Linked DNA regions of Oryctolagus cuniculus. The main gene of each other region encodes a partner of the protein of the gene in region 2 in a complex. Links are inferred from orthologs where the notes say so. Each region holds a gene or a part of one and is shown on either strand. Other genes may lie near its edges.

The links.
Region 1: RUVBL1 (region 2) and MORF4L2 share a complex: the UniProt entries of both Homo sapiens proteins name them as parts of the nuA4 histone acetyltransferase complex. The link is inferred for Oryctolagus cuniculus from reciprocal best matches to the Homo sapiens genes RUVBL1 and MORF4L2.
Region 3: RUVBL1 (region 2) and BRD8 share a complex: the UniProt entries of both Homo sapiens proteins name them as parts of the nuA4-related complex. The link is inferred for Oryctolagus cuniculus from reciprocal best matches to the Homo sapiens genes RUVBL1 and BRD8.
Region 4: RUVBL1 (region 2) and SMARCA4 share a complex: the UniProt entries of both Homo sapiens proteins name them as parts of the BAF53 complex. The link is inferred for Oryctolagus cuniculus from reciprocal best matches to the Homo sapiens genes RUVBL1 and SMARCA4.
Region 5: RUVBL1 (region 2) and ASDURF share a complex: the UniProt entries of both Homo sapiens proteins name them as parts of the PAQosome complex. The link is inferred for Oryctolagus cuniculus from reciprocal best matches to the Homo sapiens genes RUVBL1 and ASDURF.
Region 6: the proteins of RUVBL1 (region 2) and ACTR6 are in contact, whole or in part, in a cryo-EM structure (PDB 6IGM), measured with the Homo sapiens proteins. The link is inferred for Oryctolagus cuniculus from reciprocal best matches to the Homo sapiens genes RUVBL1 and ACTR6. Residues at the interface, in NP_003698.1 of Homo sapiens: Lys162, Thr163, Ala164, Lys165, Gly166, Thr167, Tyr209; in NP_071941.1 of Homo sapiens: Tyr217, Tyr300, Arg338, Cys339, Leu340, Thr341, Pro342, Thr343.
Region 7: the proteins of RUVBL1 (region 2) and VPS72 are in contact, whole or in part, in a cryo-EM structure (PDB 9CA9), measured with the Homo sapiens proteins. The link is inferred for Oryctolagus cuniculus from reciprocal best matches to the Homo sapiens genes RUVBL1 and VPS72. Residues at the interface, in NP_003698.1 of Homo sapiens: Thr136, Leu138, Pro140, Glu142, Met147, Tyr150, Gly151, Lys152, Thr153, Ile154, Ser155, His156, Val157, Asp173, Pro174, Phe177, Glu178, Gln181, Ala187, Gly188, Arg205, Thr208, Tyr209, Ala210, Thr211, Glu212, Phe213; in NP_005988.1 of Homo sapiens: Ile212, His215, Arg263, Thr264, Phe265, Ile266, Thr267, Phe268, Ser269, Asp271, Phe274, Trp277, Phe278, Gln280, Gly281, Arg282, Pro283, Pro284, Lys285, Val286, Pro287, Arg289, Glu290, Ala299, Leu300, Tyr301, Arg302, Pro309.

What each region holds. Positions count from the first base shown.
Region 1 is NC_091453.1:89,766,417-89,770,796, reverse strand, and holds the start of MORF4L2 (mortality factor 4-like protein 2), read right to left. Parts: upstream 3,135-4,380; 5' UTR 3,022-3,134; intron 1,938-3,021; 5' UTR 1,900-1,937; intron 1-1,899. UniProt on the Homo sapiens protein: Component of the NuA4 histone acetyltransferase complex which is involved in transcriptional activation of select genes principally by acetylation of nucleosomal histone H4 and H2A.
Region 2 is NC_091441.1:110,808,620-110,813,167, forward strand, and holds the start of RUVBL1 (ruvB-like 1), read right to left. Parts: upstream 3,075-4,548; 5' UTR 2,965-3,074; coding exon 2,824-2,964; intron 1-2,823. UniProt on the Homo sapiens protein: Possesses single-stranded DNA-stimulated ATPase and ATP-dependent DNA helicase (3' to 5') activity; hexamerization is thought to be critical for ATP hydrolysis and adjacent subunits in the ring-like structure contribute to the ATPase activity.
Region 3 is NC_091437.1:25,976,021-25,979,881, forward strand, and holds part of BRD8 (bromodomain-containing protein 8), read right to left. Parts: intron 3,656-3,861; coding exon 3,562-3,655; intron 3,364-3,561; coding exon 3,317-3,363; intron 2,562-3,316; coding exon 2,347-2,561; intron 1,093-2,346; coding exon 1,000-1,092; intron 813-999; coding exon 744-812; intron 216-743; coding exon 38-215; intron 1-37. UniProt on the Homo sapiens protein: May act as a coactivator during transcriptional activation by hormone-activated nuclear receptors (NR). Isoform 2 stimulates transcriptional activation by AR/DHTR, ESR1/NR3A1, RXRA/NR2B1 and THRB/ERBA2.
Region 4 is NC_091447.1:66,607,170-66,611,030, forward strand, and holds part of SMARCA4 (transcription activator BRG1), read right to left. Parts: intron 2,696-3,861; coding exon 2,529-2,695; intron 169-2,528; coding exon 5-168; intron 1-4. UniProt on the Homo sapiens protein: ATPase involved in transcriptional activation and repression of select genes by chromatin remodeling (alteration of DNA-nucleosome topology).
Region 5 is NC_091434.1:50,691,694-50,696,229, reverse strand, and holds the start of ASDURF (ASNSD1 upstream open reading frame protein), read left to right. Parts: upstream 1-1,677; 5' UTR 1,678-1,875; coding exon 1,876-1,965; intron 1,966-3,420; coding exon 3,421-3,474; intron 3,475-4,503; coding exon 4,504-4,536.
Region 6 is NC_091442.1:103,144,062-103,147,412, reverse strand, and holds the end of ACTR6 (actin-related protein 6), read right to left. Parts: intron 3,159-3,351; exon of another isoform or gene 1,157-3,158; coding exon 1,027-1,156; 3' UTR 569-1,026; downstream 1-568. UniProt on the Homo sapiens protein: Required for formation and/or maintenance of proper nucleolar structure and function. Plays a dual role in the regulation of ribosomal DNA (rDNA) transcription.
Region 7 is NC_091438.1:46,923,372-46,927,232, forward strand, and holds part of VPS72 (vacuolar protein sorting-associated protein 72 homolog), read left to right. Parts: intron 1-3,087; coding exon 3,088-3,240; intron 3,241-3,673; coding exon 3,674-3,788; intron 3,789-3,861. UniProt on the Homo sapiens protein: Deposition-and-exchange histone chaperone specific for H2AZ1, specifically chaperones H2AZ1 and deposits it into nucleosomes.

The DNA.
Region 1 (4,380 bases), on a different chromosome or scaffold from region 2:
CTGATTTGTAGTTTTGAAAAAAGTGGGAAATCCATCTGAAGGCGAAGAAAACACACACACACATATGCACACACTTTCAAAAACCTGCAATATGGCCGCTCAGCTTGGAAAGACAGATTCCAAAGAGTATACATTGAAAGCTGTGTGGTTTAGTTCTGGGTTTGGTGGCGGTTGTGTTTTTACTGTGTAATTGAGCAAATGAGAGCTTTGGTACATTGTTGGGAGATAGCAGATATGGTTGGAGAGGAGGGGCACTGTTTAGGGCAAGAGGTCCTCAGAACATGCTCTTTCGAGGCCCAGAGGTTGAGATAAGCCGATTTGCAAACAGGGACAGAGAGGAGAGCAAGGGCAGTTCCTAAAAGGTACAAAGCTGAGATTCACCCAGCTACTCCCAGGCTCGAGTTGTGGGTGGGACATCAGTGAGCCCAGGCGGGTGCAGCCAGCTTTCAATAAAGCTGGTCTGTGAGACTTGGCTGAGAGGACAGAGGAAGATTGATGTTTGCCCCAGAGTGGGGCTGTCAGCTGTGCTCACCGCCTCGCCATGCTCCCAGCTGTAAACAAAAGTCCTGGCCCTTCATGGCACTGCAGAGCAGCCCAGGCTGGCGTAAGTCTCTGAGGACAGCTTGACCATTTTCTCATCCTGGCTGACAACCAGAAGACAGAAGAAACAATAGAAGGTTGGGGGGGCGGGGTGGGGACCAGGATTGCAAGGGGGTGAGAAGCAGTGACCAGTGGGAAGGAATAGTCAATTTCAGATCTCAGGTCTTCGCATGCAAGTTGTAGGAATCTTTTACACAAAGTACATCCCTTTCCTATTAGCTTCACGGATAATAGTGAATATCTAAAGGAGGTCTGCAGAGACTCTAGTGCCTCATTCATTCATTCATTCATTCAATGACTGTGTCACACAGTCCCTCATTGTGCTAGATACCCTGGATGATGCTAAAGTAATAGAAAAGAGTTTGCAAATCCAAGTAGCTTACATGTGAATCTGTGTGAAGTTAAGTAACTACCCTGAATAGTAGATCTTTAATGCTTAGCAATACGTATGGAATAGAAATTTATAAGCAGGAACAGTAAGTCGTATTGGGGTGTCATCAGTGGACCTGGCACTGGGGAGGGCTGTAGAAACATAGGCACTGTTTGGCTAGGAAGAAAAGGTACCAGGCATTCCAGACCAGGACGAGGTCCTTAGTGAAAATGAGACCTGCTTTGGTTAAAGGAGAAGGTTAGTGTCCGGGCCTCTCTTCACTCCTCACTCCCTCACTTCCCTCACCATGGCGAACCCAGCCTGCAAGTCTCACTTGGAATGTTACTTCCTTACGGAGCCCTTCCCTGATGCCCAGCCTCTAGTTAAGTGCTTTTGCTTTCTGTTCCCTCAGCACCTGTGACACGCCTCCTTGCAAGACACCACTGTTTTCACCTGCTGACCTACTGTGGTTTCCCTACAATCTGTTCTCCACACTGCGGTCAGATTTTTTTTTTCAGATGAGAATCTTTTATACCACTTCCCTCTTCAAAGCTCTGTTACACTTCGCACTTTCCTTCTCCTTTGTCTCCTTGGTCCTTCCTGCTGCTTTGCTTCTTCCTTTTCTTTCAGGTCACATCTGAAATGTGTCTGCCTCAGGGAAGCCTTTCTAGACATTCCCTCCCCAACTTGGGCCACGAGTAGGTCAGTGTCCCTCTTACGTATTTCCACAACACCCCCCCACCCCGTTTTCTCCATCTCACTATCATCCAGGAACTTAGTCCAAGTCTGTCTTCCCTGCTAGAATACAAGATCTATGAGGCTAAGTGCTAAGTTTCTTCTTAACTGTGTATACTGTGTGTTTAGCACAGTTCCTATTGTGGTAGCTACTCCACCATAATTTGTGAATGAATCCAAGGGAGATGACGCACCTGCAGGTGAAAGCTGGTCTCAAGGACTGGTCCTCCACCTATATGCGAAGGGAAAACATTAAAAGTTTTCAATTTTGAGAGGAAGAACTCATGAGAGAACACTGACTTCTGAAAACACAAAGCAAAATGAATAATCAAGCAAAACCCAGATAGTTCTAACCTTAGCTTTCCCCAAACCCTAGCCTTCTCATTATCTTGTGGACTCATGTACTCTCCCTTCCTGATTCTTCCCCTCCCCAACCCCTCCTCTAAAAACAGAAGAAATTTGCTTATTGGTTCTTCAAACCAGAATTTTGACATTATGGCCAAATGTGCTTATGTCCACATGTAAAATTGTTCATTTGGTTGGAAGATGTCATAGAGGCAGTGTGCACCCACCCGTACCCCACAGAAAGACAAAGGGAGGAAATGGAGACAATTTTGTAGCTGCAGTCCTCACTGGATATTTCTTGCTTGAGGAATACCATCCGGATGGAATCAGTGACATCTTAAAGCTATAGCAATTTGTTTTTACCTTTCCTCTCTCTCTTTAATCATTTACCCTAAACATGAATCCACCACTAAGATATTAGAGAGGTTACATAAGTAGCAGAAAGAAGATAATGGATTCATTTCCATAATCTGTTGTTCTTGTCTCTTGAGGGCCCTGGATGAAGAGGGTTATATACCTGGAATTTGAAATCTTAATGAAATAGGATAGGAAAGGTTGAACTCCAAAATCAGTGTAGTACATTTCATTAGAATAGTGGATTATAATTATAAGATATAATTAATTATAAATATAGAAAAAATGATAATTAATGAGAAACCGCATTTTCTTCTTTCTGAAAGAACCAACCTGCAGCTTAGGTCAATGAAATGATGATACCAGCTAGGGCTAAAGGAAGTATAAGTCTAAGGAATTCACAAAGAAACTCTAGTGGAGGAAACCCTAAATTTATAGGATGTGGAGCTTGGCATGACCATTTTATTTTTGTAATATGATCCTGCTGCCAAGATTTGGCTATCCCCTTCCTATGGGGACTATGATAATTGAACCTGGGTATCAGTCAAAAGACAGACAAGGAAGAGGTTCAGGACTGAATAGTCATTATAGGAACAGTTTCCTCTGATGAAGATTACCTTTAGCCTTGAGTCTCAGTTCAGGAAGTCGAAGAAGTGAGCCTCTGGAGCTAATAAGTGATAATACTCTAGTCTCTCTAGTCTTGCCCTTTCTATTCTATTTTTCCTTTCACAGCTACAAATGAGTTAATGGAAAAAGGAGGTTACAAGTAGGGTCTGGGCTTTGCCCATTCGGACCCTCAATACCCCATGTTGTCTGATGAAGCGACAAGACTGAAATGATCTGGGAAGGCCCTCCCAGCTCTGTTATGCCAGGTTCTGGAATTCTGGGACATTGTGACCTGCTGACCCACTTACCTTATGGGAAATCCCATGATTCATTAGGTTTCTAAAAGGACCACCTTTTTTTTTTTTTTTTTTTTGACAAGCAGAGTGGAGAGAGAGAGAGACAGAGAGAAAGGTCTTCCTTTGCTGTTGGTTGACCCTCCAGTGGCTGCCACGGCCAGCGTGCTGCGGCTGGCGCAGCACACTGATCCGAAGGCAGGAGCCAGGTGCTTCTCCTGGTCTCCCATGGGGTGCAGGGCCCAAGCACTTGGGCCATCCTCCACTGCGCTCCCGGGCAATAGCAGAGAGCTGACCTGGAAGAGGGGCAACCGGGACAGAATCCAGCGCCCCGACCGGGACTAGAACCTGGTGTGCCGGTGCCGCTAGGCGGAGAATTAGCCTGTTGAGCCACGGCACCAGCCAAAGGGCCACCTCTTTATTTCTATATAGAAGAATTAGTGTTGAAAGTTAAATGCAGTCAAGATACCAAATGTGTTGCTGTGACCAGTGGTCCCAAGCATTCTTGTCCTTTGATGGTCAGGACTGTCTTTAGCATTAAACTGAGAACTGATAAGCCTAGAGGCCTCAGCCAGGCATTGATAGTAAGTGTAAGGAGAGGTAGGGTGACAAGTATTTCGTGTTTCTGTAGGTTGATAATTTGAAGAGGGTCTTAGACCTAGACATGATATCCAATTATTATATTCCTTTGTCATGGCTGTCCTTCAGTTTAGTCTGTTCTCAAACAGCAAGGTCCTCTTAGAATACTAGCCGAATAATACACTTGTAACATCCCTTGACTGGTTAAATGGCTTACCTGTGACAGTTACAGATGGTATAGAGTTTTGTTGTTGTTGTTGTTGTTGTTAAAGATTTATTTATTTATTTGAAAGGCAGAAGGGCTTACAGACAGAGAGGGAGAGGCAGAGAGAGATCTTGCATCTGCTGGTTCACTCCCTAGATGGCTGCCACTGTCAGTGCTGAGCCAGGCTGAAGCCAGGAGCCAGGAGCTTCCTTCAGGCCTCCCACATGGGTACAGGGGCCCAAAGTCTTGGGACATCCTCTGTTGCCCTCCTGTGTGCATTAGCAGGGAGCTGG
Region 2 (4,548 bases):
CTCCAGGCTCCTGATCAGCCCAGCTCCAGCCATTGTGGCCATTTGGGGAGTGAGCCAGCAGACAGAAGACCTTGCTCTCTGTCCCTCTCCTCTCTCTGTCTATAACTCTGCCTCTCAAGTAAATAATAAATAAATGGTTAAAAAAAAAAAAAAAAAAAGATCATGCAGGCTGCTGTGTGAACGCACAGCAGGAGTACAAGTGGGGGCAGTGATTTTTAGCCTAGAATACAGAGAGAAACTCCAGGGGCCCACACAGCACCTGAAAAGAGAAACAAAATTCTATCTATATGTCCTTATGCACATTTTTTCCAAGAGGCAGATTAATAGCTCTCATCAGATTCCCAACTAACCCACTAAAGGTTCAGCATCAATGATACTGGGGCCAGTGCCGAGGTGCAGCAGATTAAAGCCCCGGCCTGCAGTGCTGGCATCTCATATAGGTACCAGTTTGAGTCCCAGCTGCTCGACTTCTGGTCCTGCTCCCTGCTAATGTGCCTCGGAAAACAGCAGAAGATGGCTCAAGTCCTTGGGCCCCTGCACCCACGTGGAAGACCCGGAACAAGTTCCTGGCTCCTGGCTTTGGATCAGCTCAGCCCTGGCCGTTGTGGCCATTTGGGGAGTGAACCAGTGGATGGAAGATCTCTTTTACCTCTCTCTGTAACTCTTTCAAATAAATACAATAAATCTTATAAAACAAAAACAATCCCTGATACCAGCACCTAGATGGCCATCAGTGAACTGTGCAAAGCCAACACTGGACGTGAGGGTAAATCTGTGGCACCACTAGATCCACCGATGCCTTCTGAATCCCCAAGATTAAAGTATTCAATTCCCTGTCAGTGTATTCTACACACACACACACACACACACACAAATGGGTTACCAGTCCTCAGACACTGTAGAATATTTGACACAAAGGTGTAAGGATGAGAAAGTCACAGTACTGAGGACCCACATCCCAGGATCACATAATATAAGCTTTGTTCCCTTGAATTAATAACTGATACAAAACCTAAAAGGTACCTTCTCCTTGCCTGAAGGAAGGCAGTGGTCATACTGTTCCCTACTGACAAGATCTTGTGAACGCGTTTGCTCTCTCTATTCCTTGTGGACTGTGAAGTACCTCAGTCACACACTATAGCAGCCCCTAAAACGTGTGTGCAAGGACTGTGTGTGCACGTGCTAGATTCACTGCTGCTTCAATGAGCAGAGTGCCCGTTACAGAGCCTATTAGGTATTCTTCAGATGCTATATTGCTAAAAAGGATGGAGACTTGCTGTGGTCTCCCATATAGTCTTCATATGATCCTCAGCACTGGAGCTCCTGGGAAACTCAAAATAAGGCGGAGACGGCTTTCCAAACTTTGCACTTGTAACTCTCTTACAGACAGAACCTCTTCCATGTATTCTCCTTCAGTTTACCCTCCAGCTTCCCTGCAGTGAGACACACGGTGAACCCTGACATCGAAAAAGAACCGAACAGGCCTTAGAGTCCATGTTGGCTCTCAGACGAGCACACTGAGCGCCAGAGAGGCTGCCGACACCACCAGCCCCATACAAGAACCTGGCAGCAAAGGTGGGCCTGAGAAACACAGCATCAGAGTTCGGAGCGTGGATTCTGCAGCCACACAGACCTGAGTTTAACTCCTGGCTCTACCGCCCACCAGCACGGGGACCTTAGCCCACATAACCTCATCGGCCCTAAAGGGTTTAGGGGTGAGCTGTATGGATGTTTGCCATCTACTCTGAAATGTCAAAGTGGACTGGCAGCTGGATAGATGAATAGATGCGTGACAAAGCAATGGCAAAAATATTAATTGTAGATTTTTGGGCAGATATCTACTGAACGAGCCAACATTTCCTACGTTGAGGAATACAGTACTAGAGTGGGGGAGCAAAATTATTAGACTGCAAGTGAATAACAAGACAGTGGGAACACAGCTGCTTAGCATGGTGCTTGGCCCAATCCATGCTAGCTGCTTGCAGTAACAGGTGCTTTGTTGAGTCAGGGTCAGACGTTTCCCTACTGGAAAGATGATGCTCAAAACAGAAACCAGGGGCTTGTCTTTGGCCCTTTCCATGAGCAGCATCGGGCTGAGAGGCATGTCTTCACTTCATATAAAGTGCAGGGTTTTGTAGCTGTCTAGCCTCTAGGGCAGGGCTCTTAGCCTGGAGCGCAGGGGGCTGAGAAAGGGCGGCAGAAACACATGGACGTGCGAATGCCAGCTTTACCCTTTAAACTACAGTGGCAAGTGGACTAGCGGCCTCTCCCATCCTTATTTTTTTGCCGGTAAAACAATATTGTAGGGGAATGGACTTGGCATCCCTGTCACTTTAATAAAATCAGGACCGGAGCGACCAAGAAAGATGCTTGCAGGAGTGGGTCAATCAGATCACTCCTCTCACAGCTCCCGGGCCTGGGAACCAGAGCGAGCTTTCAAACTCCTACAGTTTCCCTGCCATGCCGACAAAACCCTGCACAGAGGACCCCTACCAGGACACAGTCATTTTATCGGCCCACACGTTTATCCTCTCAGCTCACCGCACGGAAATGTAAGCGCCGGGAAAGCAGGGACCTTTTCTATCCTGTTCCCCGCCGCATCCCGGCGTCGCCAGCCGAGGCCTGGCACGCAGCCGGGAGCGCCATCAACACCTGTCGGTGAACTGGCACAAACCGCCCCCTGCTCCCCGCGGCCCGTCGCCTTTCTCCCACCCCCACCCTGCCCTGCGGAAATGCGGGGCAGACCCCCGGCCCCCGCTTCAGCGGCTGTGGCGCCGCAGCGGCCCTGCCGGAGCCCCCAGCTCCCCGGTCCGCCCGCCACACCTCTCGCGCGTTCTCCTGGCCCACGAGCCCTGAGGCCGCCTGCTTGGCCAAGCCGCTCTCGTCCAGCCCCAGCCCCTTCACGTGGCTGTGGGAGGCGATGCGCTGCGTCTTCGTGGTGCTCTTCACCTCCTCAATTTTCATTTTTGCAGGCGACGGGAGCCAAAACCAACGTGGAAAATCAGGACCTACAGCTGCGCGCCTGGCGCCCGGGTAACCATGCGGCTGTTACCACGGCGGTTTGCAAGGGCCCGCCCAGGTCCTTGCTCTATTGGCGGAAGCGGAAACGCCTCCGTTCCCCATTGGTTTAAGGCCGCGTCCATCGCGATTGCCGGTGGAACCCCGCCCATTTACTTCCGGCTGTGTCACTGGGTTGAATTTCCCCCGAGCCGCCACTTCCTGCCCCGGCCGGTGGCGGGAAGGCAGAAAGGTAAGTCACGGTGCGAGTTTGGAGGTGGTGCTTCAAATCTGGATTTTAATCGTTCCATCTAATCTATTATCATACTTAAACGTCACGCCTTTCCGCGGAGCTCAGGTTATGGCCTCAGTTTGGACATGCAGGAACTGAGGCGAGCTTAAGCTTTGACTTTGGGTTGGTTACTCCGAAGTTTTCCAACTCCCAAGCGTTTGCACGTGCCTGCGAAGGTCCCGCTCAGCCAGCCATTCCCAACGCTGCTCCGCTCAGAATCCTCCGTGGAACTGGCTTCTCTGCTTCTCTCCTCCACCCTCCTCCTCTGCTTAAGTTGCCTGCGAATAGCGTTGCACAGCCCTGTAAGGTGGTATAATGCCTAACGCAGATAAAAAGGCTCATGAAAAAAGGTCCAGTGACCTGCGCTGGAACACACAGCGATGAGCAGAACGGGAAACCCCAGAGGAGACTGAGCCCGTGTAACCCTCAGCCCATCCCAGCACCTCAGAAAAGACCATCACTCTCCTGTCGGCTTCATAATGGATTCAGCACCACTGGGATGGAAGCTTCTGACGTTCTTCAGAGCCCCGAGGGACGGGGGCCAGGTCTTGGAAGGCTAAAGTTGTTAGTGGTAGTGTGTGATTAATCAGCCCTAAAGACACCCCCTCAGGACACCCAGAGATGCTCAGCGTATCATTGACAGGCCTGGTCGTAAGTGTTGCATAAAGAACTGTTCCTTTCAGGGTGTGGAAGGAAGGCTTTCCACCAACGAATATCAAAGTGAGGTGCTCTGTAGCAACAACCTGTGTGTGTTGTCCAGTGAGGAGGAAAGACCGGTTTTACATTTATTATTTTAAGCCCTCAAACTCTTCTCTCTTTTGGCACTGAGCAAAGAGAAGGATTTCCTGGCAGCCAAAAGAAGGGGAGGATGCAGAGGTTTTTAGGGCTCAGAGGAAGCTCCTGGACCACTTGGTCCAGTGGCTTTCAAAGTATACTCCCTGGAGTTATAGAATCGTTTTGTGGCCAGAATGGGTAGTGAAGGGGAAGGCTGAGAATTTAGGACACTACCTCCATTATACCCCAGCACCCACTCCTTGTTCCACCAGAGCTGCTTTGGTTTTTTATGCTATTGACCTGGTCAAAAGTCACTGATCCATCCTGGCATTTTCATATTACAGGTGAGGAAACCGAGGCCACAGGAGAGGAGAGGATTTGGCCAAGGTTACAAACTCAGCAAATGCCTGGCACAGGTCCAGTATGAACAGATGCCAGGCCTAGTTTTAGAGCCAGGCTTTTTTTTTTTTTTCTTTTTCTTTTTG
Region 3 (3,861 bases), on a different chromosome or scaffold from region 2:
TTCATTCTTCCCAAAACACAAAGGATTCGTGAAGTACCTGGATCTGTTCCAATACATCTCGCTGCATCTCCACTGCCATGTGATAGACATCGTGGTCTGAGCTATTGTACATCACAGCATTCTGAAACATCAGCATAATGTCACGCTGAAATTCAGCTGTGCTGCGAATCAGTCCATTTTCAATGTTTTTCTTAATAGTTGATAAATCCATAGGCCTAAAAAAATGAAGAGGAGTAAAGAGCAGCAGAAGTGGGAAAAGGACTCACCTGATCTCTGAATAAATGATAAACATGATAATACATGATAAACTTTCTTACATATACCTTATTCCTTCATTATTAGCTGCTAGGACACAAATGCCAAGCCCCCACTCCAAAACATGCACTTAAGACAGAGAGAGAAATCTTGCATCCACTGGTTCACTCCACAATTGCCCACAACAGCTGGGGACAGCCCAGGCCAATGCCAGGAGCCAGGAACTCCACCCAGGTCTCCCACATGGATGGCAAGAGTCCAAGTACGTGGGCCATCATCCACTGCCTCCCAGGTGCATCAGCAGTAAGCTGGATTGGAAGCGGAAGAATGGGACTCAAACCAGCACTGCAATATGCGCGATACGGGTGTCTCAAGCAGCAGTTTAACAGACTATGCCACAACATCTACCTTTGTACTTAGATCTAAAGTAAAAATTCACTAAGACTGGACAATTTATAATTCAGGCAAGTCAGCAGAGCATGGCTTACCTCTGTACAATGCTGTGATAACCAGGTGCTATGTCATCTGTAACAGGCTGTAAGAAGACATTCGCATATCTGTCCGAAAATAATTAACATGCAATTACTAAACAGATGCACATGGGAAGGAACTTAGATCAAGTAGCTAAAGGTAGGTAGAGACACCACCAACAGTCCCACAGAAGCCTACTTAGACTGCTTTCTTTTCATCTACAAAGAGGAGGACCAGGAGGGAATGAACCTACTGATGGGTAAAGCCACTCACCTATGATTAGCTGCCGCTCTCCACACAAGCATGATGGCTTTCTTCCATATTTTCTGTGCCTGAATAGCTTCTTGATCCTCACTACAGACAGAACTGAAATAGACACACAGATCAGTAGGCAAGGTGAAAGAAAAAAAAGCCCTAATTATTTCATGTCAGTTATTTCTTCCAGGCCAAGAATAGGAAGATGAGAAAATAAGATTAAAGAAAAGGGGGCTGGCATGTGGCATAGCAGGTTAAGCTACCACCTGCAACACTGGCAACCATATGGGTGCCAGTTCGAGTCTTGGCTACTCCACTGCTGAGCCTGGTAATGCTCCAGGGAGGGAAAGCAGCAAATGGCCCAAGTACTTGGGCCCCTGCACCCATGTGGGAGACTGGGATGAAGTTACTGGCACCTGGATTCAGCCTGGCTCAGCCCCACCTGTTGCCACATTTGGGAAGTTAACCAGAGGATCAAAGATATCTCTCTCCCTCTATCACTCCGCCTTTCTTTTCTTTTCTTTTCTTTTCTTTTTTTTTTTTGACAGGCAGATTCGACAGTGAGAGAGAGAGAGAGACGGAGAAAAAGGTCTTCCTTTGCCGTTGGTTCACCCTCCAATGGCCGCCGCAGCCGGCGCACCGCACTGATCCAAAGCCAGGAGCCACGTGCTTCTCCTGGTCTCCCATGGGGTGCAGGGCCCAAGCACTTGGGCCATCCTCCACTGCACTCCCGGGCCACAGCAGAGAGCTGGCCTGGAAGAGGGGCAACCGGGACAGAATCCAGCACCCCGACCGGGACTAGAACCTGGTGTGCTGGCGCCGCAAGGCGGAGGATTAGCCTAGTGAGCTGCGGCGCTGGCCAAAAATCTTTTCTTTAGTCTTACTGTTTTTTTATTTTATTTTATTTTATTGATTTGAAAGGCGGAGTGGCCGGCGCTGCGGCTCACTAGGCTAATCCTCCGCCTTGCGGCGCCGGCACACCAGGTTCTAGTCCCAGTCGAGGCGCCGGATTCTGTCCCGGTTGCCCCTCTTCCAGGCCAGCTCTCTGCTGTGGCCAGGGAGTGCAGTGGAGGATGGCCCAAGTGCTTGGGCCCTGCACCCCATGGGAGACCAGGATAGGTACCTGGCTCCTGCCATCGGATCAGTGCAGTGCGCCGGCCACAGCACGCCGGCCGCGGCGGCCATTGGAGGGTGAACCAATGGCAAAAAGAAGACCTTTCTCTCTGTCTCTCTCTCCCACTGTCCACTCTGCCTGTCAAAAAAAAAATTAAAAAATAAAAATTAAAAAAGAAATAAAGGAAAGATTTTCTCCTACTTCTCACCTTGACTGCCTTGGACTCAAACAAAGAAATCTCTAATACTCACAACTGTGAAGAAGCAGGGCTGCTGGGGATGGAGTCGGCCAGTGTATGTGACTGCAGTGTAGCATTGTGTATGCTAAAGCCATCATCACTCTCGCTCACAGGGGGTTCATTATCCATTTCTGACAAATAGCCTTCTCCTTGATCTTCTTCCTTAGGCTCCTCTAGGCTGGCTGCTTCACTGACCCCATCTTCTTCCTCATCCTCACCTGGGGCATCCTTAGACACAGTGTGCTCCGGTCAACAAATGCACGTAAAGCTATCCAGCAAAGCATCATTAAACATGGTCTGTCTTTTGGGTTAGATCAACTCTAGAAATGGCCTCACACTTTGAGCCCTCTATCACTCATACTACCATCTACTTAGCAGACACTGACTAAATAAAGTAATCTAGAACCTGGACAAAGAATAAAATCCAGGATCTTTTTAAAAGGAAGAAAAAAAAAAAGCTACTTACTTAAGACTAAGCTAAGAGGCGTTCCTTCTTTCCCCTTGCTCTTGAGAGGAACTCTGACCCTGGGTACAAAGTTATCAAAAATAGTTTTTACTTCGTGTCTCATTTGATGGAGCAAGCTCACATCGCATTACTTCAAATCTTTTTTATTACTGCTCTAGTAACTCTAAAATAAAAACTTCAGATGATTCTCTTTGAATAGTCTAAAAAAATCTGATTTTCTATAGTTTCTTCCTGGCTCTAGTATTCCTATTGACTCCAAATCACTTGGGGTGCATCAGAGCTTCTTTGTATACTTCATGCCAAGAAAATAACCATGTAATGTTCAGATGGGTAGCACGTGCAGTAATTATATGTACTCCCATATGCCTGACTGTCCACTACAGCTTTTCCCCATGCAACTCCTTACCAGTCTCATCTCAGAGAATAAAGCTGTGAGTTTACTGAAATTCATTAAAAAAGGGAGTGCTATAGGGAAATCTATCACATGGCAAGAGGAATAAAGAAAAATCTGAAATACCTTTATCTGGCTTCCAAAAATAGCCCCTGATTCTTCTTTCAATGAGTCTGCAGAGGAGAGAAAGACTACCTGAAGATTTTTCCACCTTAGCCTTCCCCTACTATGGACCGTAATCCCCTGCAGCTCTCCTTTCCATGCTGACCTATTCTACTTCCTGTACTTGCCCACAACCCACAATCCCTTAGAAGCCAAAGCAAATGATTTCAAGTTAGTCACAGAGTACAGGTTTCCTGGTCTTTATTTACCTGACATTTCAAATTTGTGTTGAGTCTCTGTCTCTAAAGGATCTTCAATGGGATTTGAGCCATGTGAGGGAGATAACATGCTCTCAGGGGATGCCTAAAGACCCCAAAAAAAAAAAACACACCAAACAAACAAACATCAATACTCTAAGTAATGGTGAATTCTAAGAGTTCACAAAATTTCATTTTTCAATAATAATGAACCTGTACAGAGAATTCTAAGTCCTACTCATATAAAGACTCCAGTGGTCATCTTAACTGGAATAAATATATACAACAATATTCACAACATAAGTGCTTTTG
Region 4 (3,861 bases), on a different chromosome or scaffold from region 2:
GCACCTGGTGGGGGTTCCAGTCGCTGTCGAAGATGATCACAGTGTCCGCCGACTGCAGGTTGAGCCCCAGGCCCCCGGCGCGGGTGCTGAGCAGGAAGATGAAGTACTCGGAGCCGGGCTCATTGAAGGTCTTCAGCAGCATGCCCCGGTCCTCCGCCTTGGTGGTTCCTGCCGGCACAGGACCACAGCTCAGCAGGCAGGAGAGACACACAGCCCCGGCTACACCCGCTCTGTGTGGGCCACCAGCGAGTGCCCACCTCCTTCCCCCAGGGCAGGAGAGACACACAGCCCTGGCGACGCCCTCTCCGTGTGGCCACCAGCGGGTGCCCACCTCCTTACCCCAGGGCAGGGAGAGACACACAGCCCCGGCTATGCCCTTTCTGTGGGCCACCAGTGGGTGCCCCCCTCCTTCCCCCAGGGCAGGAGAGACACACAGCCCCGGCTACGCCCTCTCTGTGTGGGCCACCAGCAGGTGCCCACCTCCTTCCCCCAGGGCAGGAGAGACACACAGCCCCGGCTACGCCCTGTGGGCCACCAGTGGGTGCCCACCTCCTTCCCCCAGGGCAGGAGAGAGACACAGCCCCGGCTACGCCCTCTCTGTGGGCCACCAGTGGGTGCCCACCTCCTTCCCCCAGGGCAGGAGAGACACACAGCCCCAGCTACGCCCTCTCCATGTGGCCACCAGCGGGTGCCCACCTCCTTCCCCCAGGCCCTGGCTGACACCATGTAACACAGAGAACTAAAGGAAGGGCTGCAGCACAGGCCACGGCCGCCATCGGCCTGATACCTCCTGTGGCACCAGCTTAGGTGCCAACACCACTGTCCCCCAAGACACAGGAGGGCCCCTGGGGCGGGCAGACAGTGACAGAGGACTGCACTGCAGGCCAGGGGCTGGCAGATTCCACCACATCACGGAGAGAAGCCTTTTGAGCAGGACTGGGGAGCCATTTCAGTGCGAGGGCCATTTGCACACACATCACTCGCGGGCCACACAAAATGAGCAGCTGGAAAGTCAGCCTGCGTGAATGTGCTGAATTTCAAGTCCTGCCTGCGGTGGCCCTGGCAGGGCCAGACCGAACGATCTCACAGGCCGCAGAGCCAGGATCCCAGGAGCCTTACAGGGGACTCTCGTCCCAGGGCGAGGAGGGCAGCGCAGGCAGAGGAGCCAGTGAGGGCCCCTACGGGAGGGGCTGCAATGCTGAGAGGAAGAGCAATGCCATCCTGGCCTGCAGGCCCACCCCTCCCCAGCCCCTCCCACTCGCCCCACAATCACCGAGCTCCCCCCACCTCCCTGGCTCTTTGAACAGACCTTCAGTGCCTGTGGCCACGACCCCCAGGCACTCCAGGTGCAGGCTGAGCCCTCAGCCTCCCGGAGCGCGCGGGGAGAACACTGGGCCAGGAGGGGTGCCTTGGCTGAGGGGGTGTGGTTTCAGCTTAAGGAGCAGGAGCCCCAGGAGGACAGACACGTGCTCTGTGCAGGTGGCCCTGCAGCGAGTCCCAGGAAGGGCTGAGAGCTGGGCGCACACACGGGGCACACTCTTGGTGGGCGCCTGCGGAGGTGGGCGGCCTGGCCAGCCCAGCCCATGAAATAACGCCACTGCCCACACAAGACACAGCACAGCGAGCAGAGGGAGCCGGGAGGTCTGGGCTTCCTCGGCCTTGCTGGTCCCCGCAGGTCCCAAGCTCCGTCTCTGGGTCACCTCACTTAACCCCTCTGGCTGACACAGGGTGGGGAATGCACTCCATAGCCTTCCTGACCGGCGTGGTGCTGACCACATGGCCCAGGTGCCCACTGGGCCCCTCACCAGGCCTCCTACCCAAAGTCCCGTGTGCTCAGGCCATAGGGCCAGAAACACGCACTGATTTGTCCTGTGAAGGGACACGGCACATGGGGCTAGGCGACAGCAAGTGCAGGGCTGACTCCAGCTCCCGGGCTGGCCTGAGGCAGGGCCACGGCCCCCCCGGCTGCTGTAAAGACCACAGAGGTGGGCACACGGCTCAGAGCCCCAGACCACAGCAGGAAAGAGGGCAGGGCGGCCTCTGCTGCGCTCCCTGAGCAGGTGCGGGGGGCTGGGAAGGCAGCTGCAGGGTCAGGCCACGATGGAGGATTGTGGGCGCCTGCTGCAGGTCGAGCTGCACTTGGGACACCTGCCTCGCACACCACAGTGCCAGAGTTCAAGTCCCAGCTCGGCTCCTGGGCCGCTTCCCACTAACACACAACGGGGGAGAGCTGGACTCAGTTCCCAGCTTTGGCCTGGCCCAGACTCAGCTGTGATGGGCATCTGGAGAGCGAACCAGCGATGACAGCTCCTAGGCTGTGTCTGCCTCTCAAATAAAAAAGGGCGTGTGTGTGTGTGTGTGGGAAGCCCCTCCCACGTGACCTGCACCCCTGGGCACAGCTGTGCCGGAGCAAGTGCACCCCACCCCGGGGTCTCCGTCCTGAGTGTACCCATGCATCTGGGCCCATGGCGCCTGGCCTGCAGGCCTGCCTGCCGCTGCGCTCGGCCCCGCCCAGCCCCGGGCCGCACCGTCGAGCCTGAGGTACTTGAAGCCGCGGTAGGCGAAGTAGTCCTCCATGATGGTCATGAGGGACGTCATCTGGCAGAAGAGCAGCACCTTATGGCTGGTGGCGCGCAGCTTCGGGAGGATCCTGTCCAGCAGCTCGAACTTCCCCGAGGCGCGGTACAGGTCCAGCCTGGCACGCGGGGAAGACACGGTGAGCGACCGACGGCCCCAGCGCCCAGCAGCCTGTCTGCCCAAAGGGCACAGGGCAGCTTCCTCGGCCCAAGTAAACAAGGTCAGGCCACCAGGGGCCGAGGGCACACCGCCAGGGCGACCACACACGTGGCACCCGCCCTGACACCTCTAGGGACACCAGGGGAAGCAAGGCGGGACAGCAGCTGTCTACACCCCGGGAAGGCGGGCCCAGTCTGCCTTGTCCTCGGAGCAGCCCAGGCGCGAAGGTGCACACCTGGTGCGTGCCACAACTTGCCAGCCTGGGGGCCCGGGGCCCCCGGCCCCTCTCAGTCACTGCGGCCCAGCAGCCCTGGCTCACAGATCCGGAAGCTGAGGCGGGCAGAGGGGCCAGGACCGAGTGGGAAGTGGGGTCTTGTGATGCCCTGTGGTGCGGGGAACACATCCAGGGACAGCCCTGCCCCGTGTGAGGTGACGATGGCTTTAGGTAGGACGTTTCGAGGGGCAGGTATCTGGAGCCACACCCACATGGGAGTGCCTGAGTCCAAGCCCAGGCCCTACTCCCGATCCCAGCTCCCCACGCACCCCACCCTGGGAGGCAGCAGCGATGGCTCAAGAGGCCGGGTCCCTGCCGCCCACAAAGACCAGGATGGAGTTTCCGGTCTTTACCTGGCCAAGCCCCAGGTGTTGTGCGTGCTTGGAAAATAAACCAACAGATGGGAAATCTGGCTCTCTGGCTTTAAAAATAAATTTAAATAAAATGGCCGGCGCCGCAGCTCACTAGGCTAATCCTCCGCCTAGCGGCGCCGGCACACCAGGTTCTAGTCCCGGTCGGGGCGCCGGATTCTGTCCCGGTTGCCCCTCTTCCAGGCCAGCTCTCTGCTGTGGCCAGGGAGTGCAGTGGAGGATGGCCCAAGTGCTTGGGCCCTGCACCCCATGGGAGACCAGGAAAAGCACCTGGCTCCTGCCATAGGATCAGCGCGGTGCGCCGCCCGCAACGCGCTGGCCGCGGCGGCCATTGGAGGGTGAACCAACGGCAAAGGAAGACCTTTCTCTCTGTCTCTCTCACTGTCCACTCTGCCTGTCCAAAAAAAAAAAAAAAAAATTTAAATAAAATGTTTTGAGGCCAGTGTTGTGGCACAGAGGGTTAAGCCACCACCTGCCAGG
Region 5 (4,536 bases), on a different chromosome or scaffold from region 2:
ACTTCCGGGGAACTTTAAAGGGCTACATTTTTGTGTAGATTTTAGGGGGTCATGTCCGATTTCAGCTCCACTTCCAATCCAGCTCTCTGCTATGGCCTGGAAGACAGTAGAAGATGGCCCAAGTCCTTGGGCCCCTGCACCCGCATGGGCGACCTAGAAGAAGCTCCTGGCTCCTGGCTTCAGATCGGCACAGCTATGTCTGTCGCAGTCATGTCATGTGGGGAGTGAACCAGCGGGTGGAAGACCTCTCTCTCGCTCTCTCTCATTCTCTCCACCCCCTGCCTCTCTGTAATTCTGCCTTTCAAATAAATAAATAAATCTTTATAAAAAATACCCATTCTATGGCAAATAAAAACAGGGGCCTGCGCCGTGGCTCACTTGGTTAATCCTCTGCCTCGCAGCGCCGGCATCCCATATGGACACCAGATTCTGTCCCAGTTGCTCCTCTTCCAGTCCAGCTCTCTGCTGTGGCCTGGGAGGGCAGTGGAGGATGGCCCAAGTGCTTGGGCTCCTGCACCCTCATGGGAGACCAGGAAGAAGGCTCCTGGCTTCGGATTGGCACACCACCGGCCATGGTGGCCATTTGGGGAGTTAACCAACAGAAGAAGGACCTTTTCTCTGTCTCTCTCACTGTCTATAATTCTACCTGTCAAAGAAATTAAAAAAAAATAAAGAAGCCTGTTCTAAATTTCAGATAGACAGATACATGGAGAAACATAAAAATTTACCAGTCCAGACCTCATATAACTTTTCTTACTAGAAGACCCGATGAAAGATATGCTAGGGCTTAAAAAAAGCCACCAAGTACATCTATTAAGTCACACAATTTGTCTACATCTCATAAGTGCACTTAAGCATCTCCATAGAACATCGTGATTCCCAACACTGGAATATAATTTTCAAATATGTGGTCTCATATGCAAATATAAAATAAACACATATCATGGTTTTATTTAACTCATTAGTAAATGAGGAAACCAGTCAGATATGAAAATCAATTCAAAGAGCATTTGAAAAGCAAGGAATTTATCAGTCAAGAAATGTCAGACAGGACCTCAGTGTTACATACATAACTGATTAATGTCTTCCAGATAATAAATCATAACCTTGGAAGTATCTTATTGACCTAGTAGAAATTATTAGCATTTTTACCAGTCAAAAATCCACACGTTTGCCTCTGCTTTTGTCCCCTGCCTGCACCAGGTTGTAAAACAGTTCAGTTCATTGAAAGTCAATCCTAGAACAGCACTGAAAGAACATCAGGTAATCTCTTGCCTATTTCCAACTTTTGGTCATTTTTTTTTTTGCAAGAATGAGACATTACAAATATTGCATAGGATGTACACTAATAAAAGTATTCATTCACCTGAAATTCGTATAAAATTGTATTTAGCTGAAAACCCTAGTTACAAATTAACAAAAACTTTTCCAATTCTGTAGGGTTCGGTTGCCAACATTGTGTCTATGAAATCTGTGCTTTAGTTCAGGATCTGACTGGTTAATAACTAATTGGTGTTTCTACTGCGCGTCTGTTCTTTATTTGCACCAATAGGGGGCGCGTGTAACTTGTAGTCCAAGAGCCCACAAAAGTGTTTCTACCTCCGATCCGCTGGGGGTCGGCGTATGAATTGCTTAGATTTCGCAACCGGGCTCGAAACACTGGCGCTCTAGGCATTTGTGCGCATGCGTAGAACCGCTCTTGGCGAGGGGGCGGGGGCGTCAGGCCCGGACTGCGCAGGCGTTGGAGTGAGCGCGCGGAGGAGGTTGGTGAGACCTCTGCAAGGCAGGTGACGCTGCCGGCGCTGTGGCTGGGGCGGTCGGTGGTGGGACTCTCGGGAGCTCTGGTGAATCCTGCGTGTCTGCGGCTGGTTGGAGATGCCCGGCCGGGGCGTGCACCCGGAGGACAGCGCTGTGCCGGTCCCCGCCGGCGGCCGGACCTTACACAAGGAGGATCTTTGCAACAAGGTGGGCGTGGGACGCAGCGAGCAGGCCTCCCGGGCTTAGGACCCGGCGCCTGGGGCAACCCAGAGAGGGCCGGCCGCGAGCAGCGCGGGGCTTCGCTGGAGACGGCCTCGGCTTGCGCTGCTCTGCTGTTGGTAGCAGTCGGCACTTCCCCTTCCCTGGAAGTAGTCGCGCTAAGCGTCTTGTGGGCTGAGTTTCCGCGGCCCTTCCAGATCTGTAGCTCACCCCTTCCGTTACCCCTGCCAGCGGCATGGGCTCATCCTTGACGTCGGTCTACACCTGAAACCCACTTCCGGTACGAGTGTGACTTTAGTCCCGAGGACGCACGCTCCTGCGTCCCTGAACGAGCCGCCCTCATCGGCTGCCCCGGACCCCCGCAAAGGGCTCCCTAGCCCACCTGCTGCCTTCTCTGTTCCCCGCTGTAGCCGCAGTGGCCGCCCTAAACCTCGCACATCTGATTGTCACTCATCTGCGGAGAAAGAGGGGGAGGGGAGCCACTCTGATACTGACCTGAACTGCCGGAAACAGGTGCAACCTTTAAACGTGTGGAGGAGGGAGTTCAATGTCCTGCATTCTTCACTGGTTCTGCTCCAAGCTAGTAGTGGTGTCTTGGACAGACCTCTCTGTTCTCTCTGCATCACAGCTTCCTTCTTTGGTGGGAAGTGAAATACAGACCTGACATCCCTAAACTGCACAAGAAAGCACTGTGGTACAAGCGTTAAGTCTCAAAGAGGGGGAGGGTATAGTTTCAACCTTGGAAGTCAGCCTTATCCTGTCCCTTCTGCAGCTGTGTCAGCTCTGGAGACAACAAGGGGGAGACTCATGGGGCAGGGAGTGAATTTGCAAAATACAGCCCACTCTGCTGCCGACCTATGGCAGATCCCTCAAGTGTGTGGTGCAGTGTAAAAATCTTACATCTGGTTTTAGAGGCGCTGGTGATGTTAGGTAATAGATCGTGTTCATAAAATAGCCAGTTACTAGAAAGTATCAGAAAGTTTGCACTTACTTGAGTTCTCTCCTGAAATTGAAAAGTGAAGCCAGCACTGTGCAAAGAAGATTGATGCCAAGACAGGGGGATTTAGAACTACTTGGTTAAAAGGACTGTCTAGCCGCACCATTTAGTACACAAATCGTCAGAGACTGGTATTACTTCTGGTGCATATCGTCTGTTTGTATAGGCCTTGTTCAGTAACTGTGGCCACAGGCATGAAGGCCGGTTGCCAACATCAAACCCACTGGCTGGGCTCCGTGGGTTGTGTGACATTTAGATGTCTAATGCCCATTTCCCCCTCCACCTGTGCACACATAGACTGGAAAGAATCTTCTCAGACTGCCCATTTGGACAATCAGCGCATGATACCTTCTTACGCCATCTGCCTAATTTTAAAGCCGTCATCTAATTGAACATGTTTTTAAGAGTTAAAATTCTGTTTTAAGCGTTTCTCTTTATTTCAGTAGATTAAAGAACAAAAAGTCGTTGTGGATGAACTTTCTAACCTGAAGAAGAACAGGGTGAGTTATAGAAATTCTGAATAGTATGTGGGAAGCTTGGTTATATTTATATTATATAAAATCATAAAAGTTGTATGGAAGGTTTATATAAAGGTTGACAAGTTTTCGGCATCTCTTTAAATTGCAAAAGCCCAGTGCCTACGTTTATTTTAAACTGTACGTACATAGATCTCATAAAGCTGAAGATGTCTCTTCCTTTTCATATGCCATTTACACGACCTTTAAAGCTAATGACGCAGATTGGATTTTGGTATCTTCAAGCTGTACCACTAATGTAACTATTTTATGCTTGAATTTGGTGTGTATTTTTGAAATAAATGAACTTAAAGTTTATTGAGAAGAAACTATCCCTTAAAGTAAATGTTGAACAAAAAATTACTTCTCTCACCGCCCCCCCAAAATCTTCTCAGTGCTTAGCATTATTTTTAAATGCAATTTCTGTGTATATATTCATAAGCAAGCCATCTTTGTTGCTTCATGTGTAGTTATACATTAAACTACATTAAAATTACATTTTAATGTTCAGGAGTAAATGACTTTGAGCTCTTTCAAGCGCCTAAAGATTATAACTGACAGATTAGACATTTCTGATATTGTTGCCAGCTACAAAGATGTCCATCACAACACTGATCTATAATACTTGAGGGACAGTAATACCTTAAATGTCTAACATTTGAGGATTGAGCAAATAAATGTAGTATGTCATACGATGATATTATAAAGGAATACATATTGATAAGAAAAAGTGTTCTTGATATAGTCATTGTAAAACTATAGATGATAGTAGAAGCCTTTTTTATTAAAATAACAGTGGTATTATGGTTTACAAGGGAAAAAAACAAGTTTCACCTCACTGGTAATGATAATAGTGTCTGGGTGGCAGGATGGTTGGTAACTTTTATTTGTCTCTTTGTTATCTGTATTTACTAAAGTAAATTCCCAAAGTTTACAAGTATGTAGTAGTAGGATTCAAAGATTTGACATCTTTTTAGATCATATCTTGAGTTTGGCCTAAATTCTGTTTTGCAGAGAGTATACAGGCAACAGCAGAACAGCAATATA
Region 6 (3,351 bases), on a different chromosome or scaffold from region 2:
TTAAAAATTTGTTTACCTAAGAGTTTGTAAAATAATTGCTAACATTTGTATTGAATTTTTGAACTGAGTTACTTCAAATAAAGCAGTATAGTACTTTTATGAGTGAAATAATACATTTCTGCCAACATAGCAGTGATCAAAAAGTCTTTAGTAGTGGGGCTGCTGTTGTGGCGTGGCAGATAAACCTGTTGCCTGTGATGCTGGTTCGTGTCCTGGCTGCTCCAGTTCTAATCCAGCTCCCTAATAATGGCTTGGGATAAGCAGTGGAAGATGGCCCAAGTGTTTGGGCCCCTGCCACTCACATGAGACCCAGATGAAGCTCCTGGCTGTAGCCTGGCTCAGCCTTGGCAATTGCAGCCATCTAGGGAATAAACCAGTAGATGGAAGCTCGCTCTCTCTCTCTCTCTCTCTCTCTCTCTATATATATATATATATATATATATATCAGTCTTCTTCTCTTTCTGTAACTCTGACCTTCAAATAAATAAATAAAAAATTTTTAAAAGTCTTTAGTAAATAGGCTTTGGTCTCCACTCATTCATTCTAAGTGAAAAATAAACATTACACATAGTCTTTCCAACTTTATTATGTATAAATACAAATAATGATTTTTAAATAAAATACTTGGATCTATGAGAGAGAAATCATATTATCCCGTAAACACTTTGGCCAACTCCTAGTAAAGTAATGAAAAATTACCTACTAAGTAAAACAGACCAATGAAAAAGTTTAGTGTATGCTCCTGGCAATGAAGAATTAGACTTAAAAAACATGCCCTCTTTCATATAACATATTCTCATAAGTATTGCATGGCAGTCCAATTTCTAAATAAAATTATGAACTAAGTTACAGATTATTGTAATAATGTAGCTAAGAAGACTGTGAAAATTAGCCATGGGTCAAAGGATTTAGTTAAGACTTTATCTTAGGGTGAAAGATAACACAGGTCCTTAACCAATTCTAAAGGAAAGTTGATAGTAAACCTTTCAGTCACAACTAGTCACGATTTTCATTCAGAAATGTTTGTTATATATCAAATTTCTCTTCACAGATACTATGTCCATTTTCTTCATAGTCTTCTCTTGTTACCACCATATCTTCAAAATCATCGTTCTCTGATATCAATTTTCCACCTTCCCAGGCATAAGTAATAGGACTGAAAGTAAACATAAAATAAATGAATCCAGATGATCTTATAGAAATCAACTGATGATTTATAGAAATTAACAAGTAAAATGATTGAAACATTAGTAATTAAAATGTGGCAAGCTCTACCCAACTTCACGGAAAATCATTTAAGGTTTAGAAATAAGTGTAAGTTTCACATGAGCAGAGAAAACTCAAAAAGAAAGATCTTGTTCACTACCACAAAATACTGTTGTTTTCCCCCTTCTGGGCCCTCTACTTCTATTACAAGAACAGGAAACAAGCAAATTATCTGAAGGTGCCTAAAAGGAAAAAGAATATTGTAACTGATACTAAAGTCTGTTTGTGGCAGAGAAACATCATCTTAATTCTCACAGTAACCCATGAAACATCTATCAGAATTCCCATTTTAGAAATTTGGAAAATGAGGTTCAGACCAGAACTGATTCGGTATGGACCAAGGGTTTAATCCAGAATTGTTTTCCAGGCTGTGCTTCTGCTGATACACTTTGTTGCTTCTAATAAGTCAAACATTTGGAAAATACAGTAAATAATAAACATTTTTTGTTGACAGGCAGAGTGGACAGAGAGAAAGGTCTTCCTTTGCCATTGGTTCACCCTCCAATGGCCGCCGCGCTGCAACCGGTACACCGCGCTGATCTGAAGGCAGGAGCCAGGTGCTTCTCCTGGTCTCCCATGGGGTGCAGGGCCCAAGCACTTGGGCCATCCTCCACTGCACTCCCGGACCATAGCAGAGAGCTGGCCTGGAAGAGGGGCAACCAGGACAGAATCCGGTGCCCCAACCGGGACTAGAACCCGGTGTGCTGGCGCCGCTAGGCGGAGGATTAGCCTATTGAGCCGTGGCGCCGGCCAATAATAAACATTTATATTGTAGGAGAAACAATAAAAAAATTAGAGTGGATAAAATATTTAGTTTGATTTTGCTATCTACAATCAAGGTTATACTTTGTATTCCTACGTATTTTTTTTTTTTTTATTTGACAGATAGTTAGACAGTGAGAGAGAAGAGACAGAGAGAAAGGTCTCTCTTGCATTGGTTCACCCCCGAAACGGCTGCTACGGCCGGAGCTACGCCAATCCGAAGCCAGGAGCCAGGGGCTTCCTCCTGGTCTCCCACGCAGGTGCAGGCGCCCAAGCACTTGGGCCATCCTCCACTACCTTCCCGGACCACAGAAGAGAGCTGGACTGGAAGAGGAGCAACTGGGACCAGAACCCGGCACCCATATGGGGTGCCGGCGCCTCAGGCAGAAGATTAACCAAGTGAGCCATGGCACCAACCCCTATACTTTGTATTTCTATGTTTCTACCATTATACTCCCCCAATTCAGAGCTTCAAATATGAAAAAGGTACAGAAAAAAAGTTAATCCACACATATTCCTTATCATGAGTAGTGCATTTCCTCATCTTTTATAAAAATACATTTATTTATATGAGGGGGCTTTATAAAATTCCTGAAAAAAAGAACTAAAAGTTAATATGCATTTTCCATGAACTGTCTGTAGACCTCTCATACATAAATATATATATTTAAAAAATATATAAGCAGTTGCACAATAAGGATTTACCGAGTGAAAGAATAAAATCTAGTTCTGTGGGTCCCTTGGCTGTAATATATGCCTGTAGAATAAACATCCAATATGCTTCTTACTCTAATTATGAGAGCTGGCATTGTGGTACAGTGATTTCAGCCACCACTTACAATGCCGGCATCCCATGAGTGCCAGTTCAAGTCCTGGCTGCTCAACTTCTGATCCAGCTCCCTGCTAATGTGCCTAGGAAAGCAGCAGAAGATGGACAAAGTATTTAGGTTCCTGCCACAATGTGAGAGACCCTTATGGAGTTCCAGGCTCCTGGCTTCAGCCTGACCTAACTGGCCATTGTGGCCATTTGGGGAGTGAACCAATGGATAGAAGACCTGCCTCTTCCCTCTCTCTCTCTGTAAGTCTGCCTTTCAAATAAATAAAATACATCTACTAAAAAAAAAAAAAAAGTACATGAACATTAATGCTGATAAAAATCATTCTAAAAATCTAACAACTTTTTATTTCTTTATCTGATAGCAGTAAAAGTGATACAGATAGGACCTTCTATTAACTGCTGTTGATTTGGGGAAATTCTACTTTAATTTTAAAACAAAACTCTACATTAATTCCAGTCAAGTATGTAGGGTGTTGTTTGCAAAC
Region 7 (3,861 bases), on a different chromosome or scaffold from region 2:
ACTGGTTCACTCCCCAATTGGCTGGAATGGCCGGAGCTACACCGATCTGAAGCCAGGAGCTTCCTCTGGGTCCCCCACCATGGGTACAGGGGCCCAAGAACTCAAGCTGTCTTCTGCTTTCCCAGGCCATAGCAGAGAGCTGGATTGGAAGTGGAGCAGGCAGGACTCGAACCAGAGCCCAAATGGGATGCCGGCACTGCAGGCAGCAGCTTTACCCATTACGCCACAGCGCCAGCCCCCCATTTGTTGATTAATGGACAAATCTGCATCACTGATTGGAGAAAGAGCTGCAAGTCTGAGGTGTTGAGCCCAGTCGACTCCTCTTTCCTAAAGTGTTTGGGCTTTTTCCCCACTTTCTTTCCAAGGTGGCTGCCATTCTAGCCCTAATGTATATTACATTAGAGCTAACGCTTCAGATTTTCTACTCCAGCTCATCAAACTGAGCTCTGTAACTTTCTTAAATATACTTTGTACGTACTTTTTACCCTTCTACCTATTTTTCTCAGTAACTTTACCTCAACAGTGATTATCATGCTGGGACAAGTAAGGAGGAGGTAGTTGAAAATCATTGGCCCTCAGGTGTTTTTTTTTGTTTTGTTTTGTTTTTAAGATTTATTTTAGGCCGGCACCGAGGCTCAATAGGCTAATCCTCTGCCTGCGGTGCCGGCACACCAGGTTCTAGTCCTGGTTGGGGCGCCGGATTCTGTCCTGGTTGCCCCTCTTCCAGGCCAGCTCTCTGCTGTGCCCTGGGAGTGCAGTGGAGGTGGCCCAAGTCCTTGGGCCCTGCACCCGCATGGGAGACCAGGAGAAGCACCTGGCTCCTAGCTTCAGATGAGTGTGGTGAGCTGGCCGCAGCACACGGCCACAGCGGCCATCGGAGGGTGAATCAATGGAAAAGGAAGGAAGACCTTTCTCTCTTTATCTCTCTTTCACTGTCCACTCTGCCTGTCAAAAAAAAAAAAAGATTTATTTTATTTATTTGAAAGACAGTTACAGAGAGAGGTAGAGACAGAGAGAGAGGTCTTCTATCAGCCGATTCACTCCCCAGATGGCTGCAACGGCCAGAGCTACAGCAATCTGAAGCCAGGAGCTTCTTCCAGGTCTCCCATGTGGGTGCAGGGGCCCAAGGACTTGGGCCATCCTCCACTGCTATCGCAGGCCATAGCAGAGGGCTGGATCAGAAGAGGAGCAGCCGGGATTAGAACCAGCGCCCATATGGGATGCCGGCGCCTCAGGCCAGGGCTTTAACCCACTGTGCCACAGTGCCAGCCCCTGGCCCTCAGTTTAAAACTGAAAGTTTATTATCCTGAAATTGTAAACCTCTGCAGAGACAAAGTATAACCTTCTTTTCAAATCTTATAGTCAAAGTGGGACAATTACAGGATAGTCAATGTGGAAAGGTGGCTTCTTGCCAGAGATAAACCAACCAACCAACCTTCTTTCCTTCCTTCCTTCCTTCCTTCCTTCCTTCCTTCCTTCCTTCCTTCCTTCCTGTTGTTGTTGTTGTTGTTGTTGTTGTTGTTTTTTAAGATTTATTTATTTGGGTACGGCACTGTGGTGAAGCGTGTTAACGCCCTGGCCTGAAGTGCCAGCATCCTATATGGGCGCCAGTTCAATTCCTAGCTGCTCCACTTCTGATCCAGCTCTCTGTTATGGCCTGAGAAAGCAGTAGAAGATGGCCCAAGTCCTTGGGACCCTGTACCCATGTGGGAGACCCAGAATAAGCTCCTGGCTCCCGGCTTCGGATCGGCACAGTTCCAGCTGTTGCGGCCAACTGGGGAGTGAACCAGCAGATGGAAGACCTCTCTCTCCCTGCCTCTCCTCTCTCTGTGTAACTCCGACTTTCAAATAAATAAATCTTAAAAATAAAAACTTTATTTTTTAAAAAAGATTTATTTATTTATTTGAAAGTCGGAGTTACACAGAGAGGAGAGGCAGAGAGAGAGAGAAAGAGAGGTCTTCCATTTGATGGTTCACTCCCCAGTTGGCCGCAACAGCTGGAGCTGCGCCGATCCAAAGCCAGGATCCAGGAACTTCTGGGTCTCCCACGTGCGTGCAGGGGCCCAAGGACCTGGGCAATCTTCTATTGCTTTCCCAGGCCATAGCAGAGAGCTGGATCAGAAGTGGAGCAGCTAGGACTCGAACCAGTGCCCATATGGGATGGCGGCACTGCAGGTGGTGGCTTTACCTGTTACATCACAATGCTGGTCCCAACTTTTTGTTTTTCATTTTTTGGATTCTAAAGTGTTATCCACCAGACTAAAACCTGTGCCCCAGATCTGGCCCACTGTTTTGTTGTTGTTTGTTTTTTAAAGACTTATTTTGAAAGAGTTACAGAAAGAGAGGGAGAGACAGAGAATGAGAGAAGAGATCTTCCATCTATACTGGTTCATTCTGCATATGGGCACAATGACTAGGGCTGAGCCAGGCTGAAGCCCAGAGCTTCATCTGGGTCTCCCTCATGGATGTAAGGGTCCAAACACTCGGGCCATCCTCCTGTGGTTTCCCAGGCACATTAGCAGGGATCTAAATCAGAAGTGGAGCAGCCAGAACTTGAAACAGTATCCATGTGGGATGCCAGCATCACAGATGGCAGCTTTACACCTACTCCTGTGCTACCTGTTTTAATCTGGCCCTTTATAGAAAAAAGTTTCCTGATTTGTGGTCTAAAAGATTAAAGTTTAGACCGTTTCCCACCACCAACTGGTAGCAAATATGCCTTCCTCTGATTTGCCATAGTTGCCGTGTTGTACTTTATGTGTTGCCGTGTATTAAAACTTCTGATTGTGTCCTGTCCTTCACTAGACTGTGAACCCACTGAAGGTAGGAACCAAACCGTATGCTCTTGTTCCGCAGTACTTACCACAGTGTTCTGCGGGTAGAGGGCTGTCTGTGGATGTTGCAGGGGCGTGCCAGTAGAACCAGAGGTTGGCTAGGAAGGCTTCTCCCCTAAAAGGAAAGAATAGCTCGGTTGGGAAGGAGAGTGAGGCAGCCCTTATCAGGAAGGTGAAGAAATTCTGTTCCTCGTGCGTGCAGGGGCATTAACGAGTCTGCTCCCAGTAAGCCCTCGCCTCCTTGTGTCCTCAGGAGTCGGGAGATGATGAATATCAAGGGGACCAGTCAGACACAGAAGACGAGGTGGATTCTGACTTTGACATCGATGAAGGGGATGAGCCATCCAGTGATGGAGAAGCCGAAGAGCCAAGGCGGAAGCGCCGAGTAGTTACCAAAGCCTATAAGGTGCAGGGGATTCCTGGTTCCCTTGGACTTTCTGAATTCCTACTCTCTTCTTCATCAGGCCCAGAACGCTCCATATCAGCCCCATTTCTACAGTGCCAGTTTTCTCCCTCTCTTTTTTTTTTAAACCGTGCACAACAATTTATTTATTTATTTATTTTCCGAAAGAAACCTTTTATTTAAGGAATACAAACTTCATGCATTTCATAAGTACAGCTTTAGGAATATAGTGATTTTTTTCCCACCATACCCACCTTCCCCCCAACATTCCCACCTCTCCTCCCTCTCCCATTCCCAGTCCCATTCTCCAAATAACTTTATACACAGAAGACCAACTCTATACTAAGTAAAGAGTTGCCAGTTTTCTCTTGTTAAGATCCTCATCTTTCTCCCTACGTCTTCTGTTCTCTGGTATCTGATTCCAATCTGTCCCCAGGAGCCTCTCAAGAGTTTGAGGCCTCGAAAGGTCAGCACCCCAGCTGGTAGCTCTCAGAAGGCCCGAGAAGAGAAGGCACTGCTGCCACTGGAACTACAGGATGATGGCTCTGACAGTGAGTACAACATTTGGGTCAATTAACAAAACTGGAAAATGGTCATGAATTATTTTATCAGTATTACATTTTC